Coturnix japonica: one gene and its partners. The protein of the gene in region 1 purifies or fractionates together with the protein of each later gene. This does not show direct contact. Links are inferred from orthologs where the notes say so. Each region holds a gene or a part of one and is shown on either strand. Other genes may lie near its edges.

Region 1 (4,715 bases):
TACAGACGACTGACTGATTGTGCTCGCTCTTCTCCTCCTCCAGCATCCTCAGTGAGAAGTGGAGGCTGCAGGCTGGTCTTGCAGCCACTGGGCAGCTCCAGGCCATCAGTACAGGTAGATGTTCGCCAATACTGCTAAAATTCCAGAATGAATTCATTAATTGGTTTTCTTGTGTTTTCTTTTAAACGAGCAGATAACAGATAGAAGACTTTCAGCTCAGTCCCTTCCAGCAAACCACTGCCTGGCCAACTTTGGTCTGACTTCAGCATAAGTGAGATCCAAACTCTCAGACGAGAGGATGGCATTTTGCAGGAGATGGGCTTAGAGGAAAGATACTCTCGTTCCCATTCATCCAGGCTCTTTCCCTATCCGAAACCTCTCCAGGAAGCAGGAGCTTCAACAGTAAAGTCACTTAGAAAGCATCTGCCAGAAACAGTCTTTTCTCTCTCTTGTTTGGAAGATAACCCTGTTGATAAAAGCACTTCTGCAAAGACTGTAAATGAACAGTGAGCATAAGTTAAGAGTAGAAAGCATCACATTTATTTCCAAAACAAAACTCACAGGACCGGGCAAAGCTTTGACTTTACTCATGAAAGAAGCTCTGGAAAGTCTTTGTATGCTGACAGTTGTAAACTCCTGGGAGCACACGATGAGTCAAACAAATACCTGGCACCAGCACCAAAACAAGCAGCAAGGAAAAAAGGTAGAAGCTGAATTGGAAAGACTTGCCAGTGTATCCCCAGCTCTTAATCCACCTGCCTGCTGTCCTGCTGCTGGTTCACACACGCTGCTTTGGACCAGCTTGCCATGAAGACAGGGCTACCAGTTCCCATACTGGCCAGCTACAGCAGATGAGCCCTAATGATTGTGGACTGAACAATAACTGGGCTTTCTGATATCTGAGCTTCCAGAAACCTGCCAAGGGAACACATCACCTTCACCCAATCCCACAGGTGCAGGAGACATGCCCTCCTTCAGAGCTTAACATCGACTGATGCTTGTGAATAAACTTAAACACAACTGCTCTATTTACCATCCTCAGTCACTACACCAACACTGATGCTGCCCTTACATCTTATAGGAAACAGTGACCTTATCTATTACATAAAGCTCTCCATGCTCACTAGGAGTAACACTACACACCCCTGGTAAGGTGTGTTCATCAAAAAACACGTTCTAAGCAGCAGTTGTCCACTAGTCAATCGGAATGCAAGAAATAAAGCACCTGATTTCCCATGAGACCACAGCATGAATTGACATGAAACCACGCTTCCTCGCAGGAAAAGCTGTTTCCCCCCAGGCTGACCTTGCTGGGATGCAGAATCAATCCAGCCCTGGGCCAGGAGCTGCATGAAGAGGACTTCATCCTTTCTGAGACCCAGCCTGGTGTGCAGGTGCTCAGCTGATCATATAAAACATCACCTGTAGAAGCTCTCCATCACTACCTTCTACCCCCAAAACCTCGCTAAGTCAACTCACCTTTAGAGCTTCCCTCCTATATCCCACATGCCGGCCCCCAGAGCCTTAATGCTGCTCACGTTTACCACCAGGCCCAGCCAGTTCAAGCAGCATCTCCCCGAGTACCCTGTTTTCAAAGCAAAGTAACTTTTGCTCTGTTGTGGCTACACAGGCACGTCAGTAAGGGGAGCTGCTGCAGGAAACGCTGGCACAGAAGTCTCACGGAGCTCTTAGCGCCTCAGAAACCTCCTAATGCAGAAAACAGATTAAAGGTGAAACGTACAAGACTGATACAGGAACGCTAAAGCAGGAGGAGTCTTGGTAATAAAACACTTTGACCTTCTTCCCGATCCCTGCAGCTCTCCTATCAGCGCAAAGACAGAACAGAAGCATGGATACCCTTACCACTTCTCCTAGGATCAGTCAGAAACCAAACGGGCTTGAAGATTTTTCTCTTTTAAACCTAACTGAAAGGCTCCAATGAAATAAGCACAATGGTGGTTTTAAAGGGCCACATTTTAAAAGATGCCCAAGATGAGACCCGCCATACATGGTCAAAGCATTCCCCCACACACTGCAGCACCAGCCCAGAGGACACAGCAGCAGGTGTCAGTGCAGCAAACCCCCCATGGGCTGAGCACTGGGTCAGCACTGAGCCCAACCCGGAGCAGCATGAGCCTCCTGCCCCCACCTCACTGTGCTACCAACAGTTCAAAGCCCTCAGCCTGAAGCTGACGGACGTTTCTTTCCTTGTCCATTTCGTAGCCCAACGTTTTTAATCGCCACACTTCCACACACACAGAGGATGTTAACCCAGCACTTCTTAGGTCCGGGCTTCACGCACAGCAGCACCGAGCTCCACATCAAAGCTCTTTCTTCCTCTAAAACGTTTCTCGCTGAGTTTTTTCCTCAGGTGTGTCGATGTGAGCGCTTGAAAGCTCACAAAGGCTTCACGTTTTTAGCTCCTGTGTTCTCTTTCAGTTTCCCAGCCCGTCACAGCAGCCCACACGCGGAGCCCTCACCCCGCAGCGCTGGGCCACCTCCATCCGCAGCAGAAAGGAAGCGCACATCGGATCGCTTCCCGTTTTCGATGGCCGCCCGGGCTAAGGGCTCACGGCACGATCTCACGGCACGATCTCATCGCATCCCGCCGCCTTCCCGCACCACCCCGGGCCGACTCTCGGTGTCTCGGCCGCCCGCCGTTCCCCCTCACGGCCCCGAGGCTGCTCGGCCCGTCCCGCCCGTCCCCGTTCCCCCCGTCCCTCCCCACAGCTCCGTACCCTCGGGGCCGCCCCGCCAGGCGCCGCCCGGCCGCCGCCCCGCCGCAGGCCCGGCCGGGAGGGCCCACAAAGGGCGGCAGGTGGGAGCGGGCCGCGACCGCGCACTCACCGGGGCTGGGGCGGCGCCGGCCGCCTCCGGGACGGGCCGAACGGGGCAGCTGGGGCGCGGCCGCCACACGGCGCCTCTGCAATGGCGGCGGCGGCACCCACCGAGACGGCGGCGGCAGGAGCCGGAGGGGGAAGCGGAACCGCCGCGCGTGGCCACAGCCCGGGAGGGCGGGGCGCCGCCACCGGGACTACGGGTCCCGGCAGCACCCGGCAGAGCGGGGAACCACGGGAAGCGCTGCCACGGGCGGGAAAGAGGCCTCGGAACGGCGGACACAGTGGGAGCAACGCCGTCACACCATGGGGTTAAAGAGCCCCCTTCCACCACACAGATGGCGCCGCTGAGGTAGTGGATGAAGCAGCCAGCAGCATTCAGCACAGCCGGGGGAAAACAAGAGCCCTCTGTCAGAGCAGTTGCCAACCTGTGGTGGGCACAGTCACAAGACGAGCTCTATTGAATGCCAGAAGCAAAGGATGCCCAGGGGATCATGAAGCTACAGCTGGACAGCCATGAAAGGCTCATTCTGCTGGGGAACAGTCCTGGCTGCGTAGGAAGGAAGATGGACTTTGAAAACCAGCCGCTTTTAACTAACTGAGCTTATAAGGAAGGGCATTTTGTCCATCAGCAGCCCCTGAGCTGCTGTAAGGTCACAGTGCCACCTACTGACGACTGGAAACAGCGACTGTTCATCTCGAGCAACTCAGTTTTTCCATTAAGTAATTTCCTCTCCATATTTCCTTGTATTTATCAACCGCTCTGAGGGCTGAATTCGAGCCTTATAAATATTTGCTTCTAGTTTGTATCTTTTCACCAGCTTTCATCTTCCAAGGGTTATTTGAGCTTCAGATATAGGGTGAAATTCCCTTCAGATTTTCTAAGCTCTCAAATCCTTCGGTTCAAAGCAAGAGAAACTAATCCCCCCCCCCACTTACTACAGGGCTGTACCCATTGGTTTTTAAGCCTTCTACTGTGACAAGTAAGCAAAGAATGTCTCTTCCCAAATCCACACATAACCCATCTGGGCAGCATAAACGAGATTGAAGGATGTTTTTCATACCATTAACACCCACTTGTCAAGTCTGTTCATTTAAATTCAAGAAATACAAACACCTCTGTGAGGAAAAGCACCAGCCAAAGCCCAAAGCTAGACCAGGCTGAGGTTTAGGGTAAGGAATAGGAGTCACATTCTGCTCCTGACTGCTGCTGCCTTTGTACTACAGTCCATGAGGGCACCCTCATGCATTGCCAAGATGTGAATAACAGTAACATCTGGAGCTCAGTCATTTTGCACGTCTTTATTCCAAGCAGGTCACCAGAGAGAAGTCTCCATATCTGCAAACAGCAGTGAGAATCAAGCTGGAACAGAGCACGGTGGCAAGAAGAGTCACGACACACACTAAGACACTGTGTTGTGTGAGCCCCACCGGGACACGCAGAATCAGTTCTTCACTCTCCTACAAGGAAAAGTAAATTGGTTATACACACTTAACCAGCTTTTGTTGGTTTTTTAGCTGCAATTCAGGGGATGGGTAACTAGGCTGCTATTTAACTTGCCCTTTGCTAAGGCTTGATCTTGAATCCCAAAAGAAAGCTGAGATGGGACACAGCCTTTCAATTTACTGCCCTTGCAGAGAGCCAGCTACACTGCAGAGGCCTTTCTTTATTCAAGTCGTGCCAATTACAGCACTGTCGATTCTAGGATTCCAACTCAACTGCCTCTATAAGAAGTCACACAATGAGGCTTTTATCAGGTAGGTCTGTGATCTGGAAGCTGCTTATCTCAGAAAAAGGCAATGTTTGTTAAGCAAGAAGCCAGAACTTCCTTCTGAAATAGGAACTCACGGGTTGGTGTGTTGCTCCGTACCACTGAC
Region 2 (4,587 bases), on another chromosome or scaffold:
GCCCGAGCAAGACGCGAGCATCCTCCGTTCATGCTGGAGCGGCGGAGCGGGGCGCGGGGCGGAGCGGGGCGCGGGGCGGGGCGGAACGGGGCGCGGAGCGGGGCGGGGCGGTGGGGGGGGGGGGGTGGGTGGGAGCCGCCCGGACGGTCCCCCCCGCATCTTCCCCCCGCACCGCCCGGCCTCATGGGACTTGTAGTCACTGAGCGCGGCGTCGCCCCTTCCTCCTCCTCCTCCTCCTCCTCCTCCTTTTCCTCCCCGCACCCCCCGCCGGCCCTATGCCCCCCCCCATTGTATGGGGCTGTTCGGGGACGGCTCCGCAGCGCCCGAAGGCACAACCTGAATTCTTATCGCACCCCCCCGCTCTCCCCACCCACGGGCGCTCAACACGCAGCAGCGCGACCCCCGCGATGAGCCCGTGGGGTGCCGACCCCCCCCCGGCCCCATTTCCCTTTCCGCCCCCGTCCCTCCGCTCGTGTTTTCCGGCAGCCGCCAGAGAACAATGCGAGGTTGGGCCCCACGGCTGCCCCCCCCCCACCCTCCGACCCCTCCCCACGCCCCTATGGGGTTCCCGCGGGGTCACCCCGCTCCTTCCCCGCCCCTATGGTGGGCTGTGGCCGTGACGACCCCCCCCCAAAGGTCCCGCTGTCCCGTGACGTCACGGCCATGCAGCGGTGAGCTCAGCGCCGGGCGGGTGCAGCGTGACACGGCGCTGTGCCCCCAGCCCCGGGCGCTGATCGGGGTCCCCCGGGCTGGGGGTGGCGCCCCCCGACCCCATCTGACAACGGCACAGAGATGGGCACCCCCAGTATCAAACCCCCCCACACACACTATGCCAGGTTCAGCCATCGTGGGGGTGGGGGTCGGGGTGATTTGGGGCCTCGGGGGTGCGGGTGCAGGATGGGACCCTGGGCTGGGAATGGGGCTGGGGGCAGGGCCGGGGAGTGCATGGAATCAGAACCGGGACATGGGCTGGGTCAGAACCTGGAACGGGACACGGACCAAGGCTAAAACCAGAACCAATGGATGCCTAGAATGAGACCAACTCAGAACCAGGACCAAAATGAGAACCAGGCCCGGGTCCAGAGGATGCCCAGGATCCGGATCACTATCAGGACAAGAACCAGGGGTTGTCCAGGACAAAACCGGGACCAGGACAAGGTCCAAGACTAACCCAGGACCAAGACCAGGAGCAGGGAATACCCAAAAGCAGGACCAGAACAGAGGCAGGGAATGCCCAGGAACAGAACCAGGATGGGGACAAGAACAAGGAGACGCACAGAATCAGGACTAGAACCGGGACCAGAACCAGAGGATGACAGAGCCGGGATGAGGACGAGAACCAGCACCAGGACGGGCCCCGATCCGCCCCAAAGGGCCGCAGCTCCATCACCCGCTGCTGCTCAGGGCGCGCCGTGACTGCGCTGCGCTGCGCTGCGCTGCGCGGGGCGGGGGCGGTTCTGCTCCTCCTCCGCCGGGGCCGGGCCTGAGCCGCTTCCTGCGGAGCCGCCGGGGCTGCGAGCAGCCGGCAGGGCAGGCGGCAGGAGGGCGAGGCGGCCCCGAGCCCCGCCGCCCCCCCCCGACCCCTCCCCAACCCGACCCCCCCATCCCCCCCTTCCCCGGCCCCGCTCCGCGCTGGCGCAGAGACCCGGGCCCGGCTCGGCGCTGAGGATGTCCCGGAAGGCGCAGCGGGCGGAGGTGTGCGCGGACTGCAGTGCCGCAGGTAGGGAAGGGCCGCGCCCGGCCCCGTCGGCGTTATCCCCCCCCGACCCTCCTCCACGCGGGGCCGTTCGCAGTTCGGTTGTGCGTGTGCCTCCATCCCCTCCCCCCCAGCATCAGCACCTGGATGACGCCCCCCTCCCCCTTTGCTCTGGACCCCGCTGCCCCGCTCTGAACCCCCAGCTTTGTACCCGCGATACCCCGGTGCCTCCCTCCCCCCCCCGCACCCCCTATTTACCCCAGGGGTCCCAGTGACCCCCACCCTTCCTTCACACCCCGTGCTGAGACCCCAGGAGCCCAGGGTTCCCCCTGCATACCCTGCCGACTCCCTCTTTGCCCACAGCAACCCCACAACGTGCCCTAAATAAACCCCCCCCCCGTTCCCCCTGCAACCCTCGGTGCACCCCATTCCCCATCCCTTTGTACCCCTACTTTCCCTCTCGGCACCCAGCACTGTGCCCCCCGGTGCCCCTGTTCTGCACCCAGGAACCCTACAGTGAGCCCTAAAATGCCCCCTGTGCCCCCCAGACCCCTTGTTCTATCTCTTACAGCCCCTTGTTGCCCCCCATTACCCCCCACTCTTCACCCCCTACTTTACCCCCGGGTTCCCCTTTTACACCCCGCACTGGGAATCCCCGCTGCACCCCATTATCTCTATAACATACCCTAAAGATGGCTCCCCCCCCATATTGTGACCCCCAGACCCATCCCTGCGGCGCTGGGGGCAATGAATGAACGTTGAAAGCGGCTCAGAGCCCTGAGGATGGCGGCCACGTGCATGGGGGGCTGCGGGGTCACCCACTGCTGTGGGTCAGCCCCTGTTATAAGGTACCCGGCGGTGCCGAGGTTCCTATGGGGGAAATGGAAAGCTTTTTCTCCCAATCCCTTATCGCCCGGCGGCCATGGGAGGAAATGAGTTATAAAGTCCAGAGGCCGCTTCCGACATCGCGGGGCCGGGAGCAGCCGGTGTCGGGATGTGCGGGGTGCCCGGCTCCGGCATCGCCCCCGCGGCGCAGGGATGGAGTTTCCCATTGCTCCGGGTTATGGGGTAGCACCGTTCTGCTGTGCCCTCAGCCGCCCCGATCCCAATGAAGGAGGAAGGGGTGGCACTGCGAGGTGCTGTATGGGGTGCTGTATGGGGTCCTATATGGGATCCTATATGGGGTGCTATATGAGGTGCTATATGGGGTGCTATATGGGGTGCCCCCCCCCCGGCACGCAGCATCCTGTTCCCGGCAGCGCCCCGTGGGCCGCGGTGCGGAGGCGCAGATGCGGCGGTGCTGCTGCCAAGCGCTGCCATCTGCCCGGGCGGTGCTGCCAGGATTTGGGGGGGGGGACGACGACAACACTGCCTTGTGGCCGCTGCCGGCTGTGCCCCCCATATTAGAGGGGTCGGGGCTGCCTGGTGTGGGGCAGCAGTGGGGTTTTGGGGAGGGGGTGGGAAGGAAGCGCCGCACTGGGTGATGGGGGTGGGTCGCTGGTGGTGCTGCTGCCCCCTCCCACCCGCAGCCCTTCCTCCCGTGGGGCGGCGCGGTGTTTGTGTAGGCCCTATAGATGCACAACACTCCTCTGCTATGGCACAGGGACGCTGGGGACCGTATGGCCCACCCTGCCCCTGCCCCCTGTGGAGGGGGGGGTGGCACCCCATCTGTCCCCCATCCCTTCTGTTGGTGCCGGGGGATCTGGACCCATTGGGGTGCTGGCTGTGGGGAGCTGCCCCCAAAGAACGGTGGGGCCCCCGTGGCTGGAGCGGGGCCGGTGCCAGCACAGTGCTCAAACGTCCCTTTGTTCTCCTGGGGACACAAAGGGCTCCAGTGCGGCCGAGCGGGGCCGGGCAGGGGGCGTGGGGCTGCTGGGGGGGGCACAGCCACTGAGTCCGTGATGGCTGAGTGGGTGGGAGGGCACCCACCTGTATGGGGACACCCGCAGCACAGGGGACACAGCATCGGCACGTAAGGGTGTATTGCACAGTGCTGGCATCGCCCCCGCTGCTGTCAGCCCTTCTGATGAGGGGGCCAAATCCTGCCCCCCCCCCTTGGTTGCTAAGGGAACCCTTTGGGTTTCCCCTGGCGATGGGCTGAGCCCCTCTCCGTCACCCTGGAAACCGCCATGTTGCTACGGTGACGCTGCCCCCCCCCACACACAGCCCCCCCTACATAACACCCCACGCCCCCTGCAGACCCGGGCTGGGCCTCCATCAACCGCGGTGTGCTCATCTGCGACGAGTGCTGCAGCGTGCACCGCAGCCTGGGCCGCCACATCTCCATCGTCAAGCACCTGCGGCACAGCCCCTGGCCCGCCACGCTGCTGCAGGTGGGTGCACCCGGGGGGGGAGGTTACAAGGGGGGTGTCCCATCGGCTCACTGTGCCCCCCCCCATGCATAGATGGTGCACACCTTGGCCAGCAATGGGGCCAACTCCATCTGGGAGCACTCGCTGCTGGACCCGGCGCAGGTGCAGAGCGGGCGCAGGAAGGCAAATCCCCAGGATAAAGTGCAGTAAGTGAGGGCTGTGTGTGGGGATGGGGCTGTGGGGATGGGGGGAGCTGTGGTGGATGTCCCCCCCCCCTCACCCTGTGTCTCCAGCCCCACCAAGTCAGAGTTCATCCGCGCCAAGTACCAGATGTTGGCCTTCGTGCACAAGCTGCCGTGCCGGGATGATGATGGTGTCACCGCCAAGGACCTCAGCAAGGTGGGGGCACGGTGTGATGGGGACCCCCCCTTGGTGCTGCTGACACTCCTGGCACTGACTGCTGCCTCTCCCCCTGCAGCAATTGCACTCCAGCGTGCGGACGGGCAACCTGGAGACGTGTCTGCGGCTGCTCTCACTGGGGGCTCAGGCCAATTTCTTCCACCCGGTGAGCTCTGGGGG
Region 3 (4,364 bases), on another chromosome or scaffold:
CCCTATACCTTCTTACCTCACTCTCAAACCCACAAACAGACAGGTGCAGAAGGAAAACAGTCCCACCAGCCTGGCACAGACCCGGGGCACAGCCAAGGCTCTCTCTGCCCAGGAAGGCAGCAGTTACCTGTTCTTGCAGCTCTTCATCCAACCGCTGGTAATCATTATTCCAAACCAGGACATGCAGGGGGTACGCAGCGCTGGCCCTGCCGGGGGAACTCATCATGCCACGCACCTGCAGGAGCAGGGGAAGCAGGCAGCCTGCCCTCACCACCCCCTGCTTTGTTTAGGGGCACCCCATGCAAAATCCCACACCCTGGGGGGGGGGGCTGCTCCTACTGACCCCCTCAGACCTCTATCCCCCCCCCCCCCCCCCCCCCCCCCCCCCCCCCCCCCCCCCCCCCCCCCCCCCCAAACCACCATCCCTATGGCCTCCCTCAAGTCTCTGCTCCCCTTTAATCCCCTTTAGGCTTCAGCTTCTGCCCCCCACCCCTCATCCCTATGGCCATCCCCTCTCTCAGACCCACATACCTATAGCTCTCCTTGAATCCCCCACTCCTGCCCCCCCCCGTTTCCTCAGGCCCTTGTTTTTGGAGTCCCCTTTATTCTCCTATATCTGGGGTCCCTTTTACACCTCAGCTTCTGCCTTCCCCCCCCTCTTTCTTCCCCCTTCCCCCCCAGGTCCCTCAGCCTTAGGGCTCTGCTCCCACCCCCCTCTGTCCCCATTCCTGGTGCCCTCCCTAAGACCCTCACTCCTATTCCCCACCCTTATCCCTCAGTCTCCAGCTCCCAGTGCCCTGCTCCCCCCATCCTTAGGCCCCACCTCACACCCCAGCCCCTTTCCCACCCAAGCCGTCTCCTCACCCCCGTCCCTTGGCCCCTTCCTTTCCCTCCAGGGCAGCGGTAGGGCCGTCCCACAGCACGGCAGCTGCGTTCAATAGGGCCCCGTTCTCTCCCCGCTGCAGCCCACAGACCCTCACACAAGCGGAAGTCTCAATTCCCCGCTCTCCCCCCATTTATATACAGGGCGTCCTGCCCGCCGGCTCCTCCATCGCTTTACCTCTCAAGGGGGGGAACCTCTGAGCCGTAACACTGACGAGCCGCCCTGTTCTCACCATCCCCCCCCGCCTCTGGGCAGCGTTGGTTTCGCCCGCATGCTCTACCGCGGAAATACGGAAGACACGCAGCCATTGCGAGTGAGGGCAGTGTCTCTATTCGCCATTTTAAGTTAGGGCGATACGACGGCTACGGCAGCGCAGCTCCGCCTGGCTTCTCACGTTAGCGTAAAATGCTTCGTGAATAGCGAGCGGCGGCGTAGCGTGCGGTGCTGACGTACGCATGCGCACTACGCGCTCGGCTCGGCCGCCCGGCGGGGGCTGAGGCGGCCCCTTGAGCGCGGCAGGAAGCGGCCGGTCCCGATCCGAACAGCGATGTCGAAGCGGCTGAGGAGCAGCGAGGTGTGTGCGGACTGCAGTGCGCAGGGTAAGGCCGGAGGAACCGAGGGGAGAAGGGGGATAAAGGGGAAAGACGAGAGGAGGGGGCGGCAGGGCCCGTCCGCATCCCCACCCCCCTGCACTGAGGAGAGGAGGGCAGGTGCCGCTGTGTGGATGGGCGCTGTGCTGACAGGGGGTGTGGGGAATAAAGGTATAAAATGAGGGTCTAAAGTCCCTATTTCTGCTTATTTATAGTGCTGGTGTTCCTGTGTTAGAGACTGGTTTTTGTTTTGGGTGAACAAACCCAACTCCCTCAGCCTGTCCTCATAGGGGAGGTGCTCCAGCCCCCTGATCATCTTCCTGACCCTCCTCTGGACCCTTAACAAAATCTCCATGTCATTTTTGTACTGAGGGCTCTACACCTGGACACAGTACAACAGGGCAGCCAGCACACAGCAGGGTCACAGCTCTGTGTGTTGTTGGGTGCTGCATGACAGCGTCAGATCTGATGCTCATAGAGAAGCCTGCTGGTTTAGCCATGTGTGTAACAAAAGCTTAGTCCTTTCTTCACAAAACAACCCAAAAACCTGAACAAACCCCTTCTTTGATTGAAAGCAGAGTTTGTAGGGCTGGTAGGATCTTCTTCATTTGAGCCAGGTTGTCTTCTGGGGTTTCCCCCAACTTCTCTTTGCTTCTTTAGGACCACAAGTGGTCGTGCTGTGCTCAAGGAGAGTTTGACATGCTCTTTTCTGTTACACTTCCTATGCTGCTGGGGCAGGAGCTCACTTCTCGTACCCGCAGAGCACGCCTGTCCTTGCACGCTTCCTGTTTTGAAGCGCTCTGCCATGTTCCTGAAAGCAAACTTGAGAGATCTTTTGAGTATTTCTTGTGTTCCGCCATCAGTGTAAGTGTATTTGCGTTGCGTTTGTACCTGTATTGCCTTTAGAAACAGACTAAACTCCAACGCAGACATTTAACTTAAACCTGAAATAAGTCTTCCTATAACCTGACAGCCCTCTGTCATAACCAATATTGTTCCCTTTCCGGTCCCCATCCGTTACTTGAGAGCAAGTAACTGGCAGTGAGCCACGTCTGAACTGAATGGGAGCCCACAAATCTTCATGTACCTCAATTAAAACTCCACTTCTGATTAAACCACCGTGACTTTGAAAGCAGGTTGCAGCGCTGAGCTCCTGCTGCTGTTTGACCAGCCTTGTGTGGGAGCTCAGATTACCAGCCAGGCTTCTGCTTTGCTCTTCAGAGGGATGCTGAAGCTTCCATTCTGCTGTGGAATGATCAGATAAACAGGAGCTTGCTTTGCTGTAGCTGAACGGGGTTGGTTACGGTGCATATTGAACGAGCAGCTCGTGACTGAAACCAGGAACACAGTGGCTTTCAGAAGATCACGATGTATGAATGAGTGTATGATGATGTCTGTAATAAAAAGGGATGAGGCTCGTTAGTCTTGAAGGATGCCTCCAGCCTTGGCTCGTTGGGTTGGGGTTAACAAAGCTTGTTTTGTTGTTCTGTTTTTCTCTCTTAGAAGTGAAAGTTGTAAAAATAGTGGAATGGTTTAATAACAAGCACTCAAACTCCTCATTACTTTGTTTCTTAAATTAGATTAGGTTTTTTTTTTCCTACACCATGCACTTCAGTTTGGCTCTGGGCTATGTGATAGTTATCATCTACGAGTAGATGCTGCCTTCCCTTGTGAGCCGTGGGTTTGCCTGCGTTGCCTTCAGCACACACAGCATCAGCTCTGCTCAGAAACCACATCAGTGATCAGATCTCACGTTTCATGGATTCACTATATTTATTGCACGGGTCACAGCAGGATATTTGTGTGATGCACAATTGCTTAGATGTATTCTGACACGATGCAGAAGATCTCTCATCAGATACAGGCTTGTGTTGTATTCATTCAGCCTTAAACCCAGCTCTGGATTTGGAATTAAGTAGGTTTTCCAAAACAGAAGAGATTTTGAACTCCTTTTTCCTCCTGCACTGTGCCAGCTCTGACAATGTCTTGCTGCTCACTTTCCTTCCTGCAGGGTTCTTGGCCCACGGAGCCTCTTCTGTCACTGACAGAAACTGGATTTGCTTCTGAGAGCAGTAAATCTCAAGTTAAAACACTGAGTTCTAAAACACAAAGTCATTTTCCGCTCTGAAATAAGAAGCTGCCTTGCCTTCTGTGGTTGTAATAAATGTCTTCTTTTTTCAGATCCTTGTTGGGCATCCATAAACAGGGGAATTCTGATTTGCGATGAGTGCTGTAGCGTTCACCGGAGTTTGGGGCGTCATATCTCTCAAGTGAGACATCTCAAGCACACACCATGGCCTCCAACACTGCTGCAGGTAAAGACCAATGACATCTCCTCCTTTACTAAAGCTAGAATTTCTTTGTGGTGTTTCTATATATGTATATATATATCTGCTTCAACCTAAATATTCAGCATTGGTTTTGGTAGAGATGTTCATGTGGAAGGAGAGAGAATTTTAAGGGGGTTCATATTACATTCCACACAACAGTCTCCTAAACATCAGCTGGGCTTTGACACCCCAGTGGGTTTTAGGCACTGCTATACAGAATATGAGTCAGTGCCATCCTGCTGCTGGGTTCACAATACTCACAGCTCTCTGATGAGTCAATCTGTGCAGCTAGCAGCTAAGTTCTTCACTCCTGCCTGTATATATTTTGTATTTCAGATGGTTGAAACACTGTATAATAATGGTGCTAACTCCATTTGGGAACATTCGTTGCTGGACCCCGCTTCTGTTATGAGTGGAAGGCGCAAAGCTAACCCTCAGGATAAAGTGCAGTAAGTGGAAAATTACAGACCTTTTCTTTGTTGAGGTGTGATTGTTTTATTCAGCAGTGATGTAGGCAGCAAGGAGTACGTGGGAACCTAAGTATGTTTTGTTTCTGAAGAT

What was found. The genes of interacting proteins can lie anywhere in the genome.
Region 2: the proteins of PAK2 (region 1) and GIT1 purify together in Homo sapiens (affinity purification with mass spectrometry; 5 studies listed by BioGRID and IntAct, with this or other methods). This does not show direct contact. The link is inferred for Coturnix japonica from reciprocal best matches to the Homo sapiens genes PAK2 and GIT1.
Region 3: the proteins of PAK2 (region 1) and GIT2 purify together in Homo sapiens (affinity purification with mass spectrometry; 3 studies listed by BioGRID and IntAct, with this or other methods). This does not show direct contact. The link is inferred for Coturnix japonica from reciprocal best matches to the Homo sapiens genes PAK2 and GIT2.

Annotation. Positions count from the first base shown.
Region 1 is NC_029524.1:3,560,362-3,565,076, forward strand, and holds the start of PAK2 (serine/threonine-protein kinase PAK 2), read right to left. Parts: upstream 3,013-4,715; 5' UTR 2,848-3,012; intron 2,613-2,847; exon of another isoform or gene 2,481-2,612; intron 1-2,480. Other genes in the region: PIGX (phosphatidylinositol-glycan biosynthesis class X protein), read right to left, coding at 4,140-4,298, 4,687-4,715. UniProt on the Homo sapiens protein: Serine/threonine protein kinase that plays a role in a variety of different signaling pathways including cytoskeleton regulation, cell motility, cell cycle progression, apoptosis or proliferation.
Region 2 is NC_029534.1:4,843,236-4,847,822, reverse strand, and holds the start of GIT1 (ARF GTPase-activating protein GIT1), read left to right. Parts: upstream 1-1,556; 5' UTR 1,557-1,668; coding exon 1,669-1,720; intron 1,721-3,895; coding exon 3,896-4,029; intron 4,030-4,101; coding exon 4,102-4,214; intron 4,215-4,301; coding exon 4,302-4,407; intron 4,408-4,486; coding exon 4,487-4,573; intron 4,574-4,587. Other genes in the region: ANKRD13B (ankyrin repeat domain-containing protein 13B), read right to left, coding at 1-21. UniProt on the Homo sapiens protein: GTPase-activating protein for ADP ribosylation factor family members, including ARF1.
Region 3 is NC_029530.1:6,002,466-6,006,829, reverse strand, and holds the start of GIT2 (ARF GTPase-activating protein GIT2), read left to right. Parts: upstream 1-1,333; 5' UTR 1,334-1,430; coding exon 1,431-1,482; intron 1,483-3,654; coding exon 3,655-3,788; intron 3,789-4,139; coding exon 4,140-4,252; intron 4,253-4,364. Other genes in the region: ANKRD13A (ankyrin repeat domain-containing protein 13A), read right to left, coding at 128-206, 865-1,016. UniProt on the Homo sapiens protein: GTPase-activating protein for ADP ribosylation factor family members, including ARF1.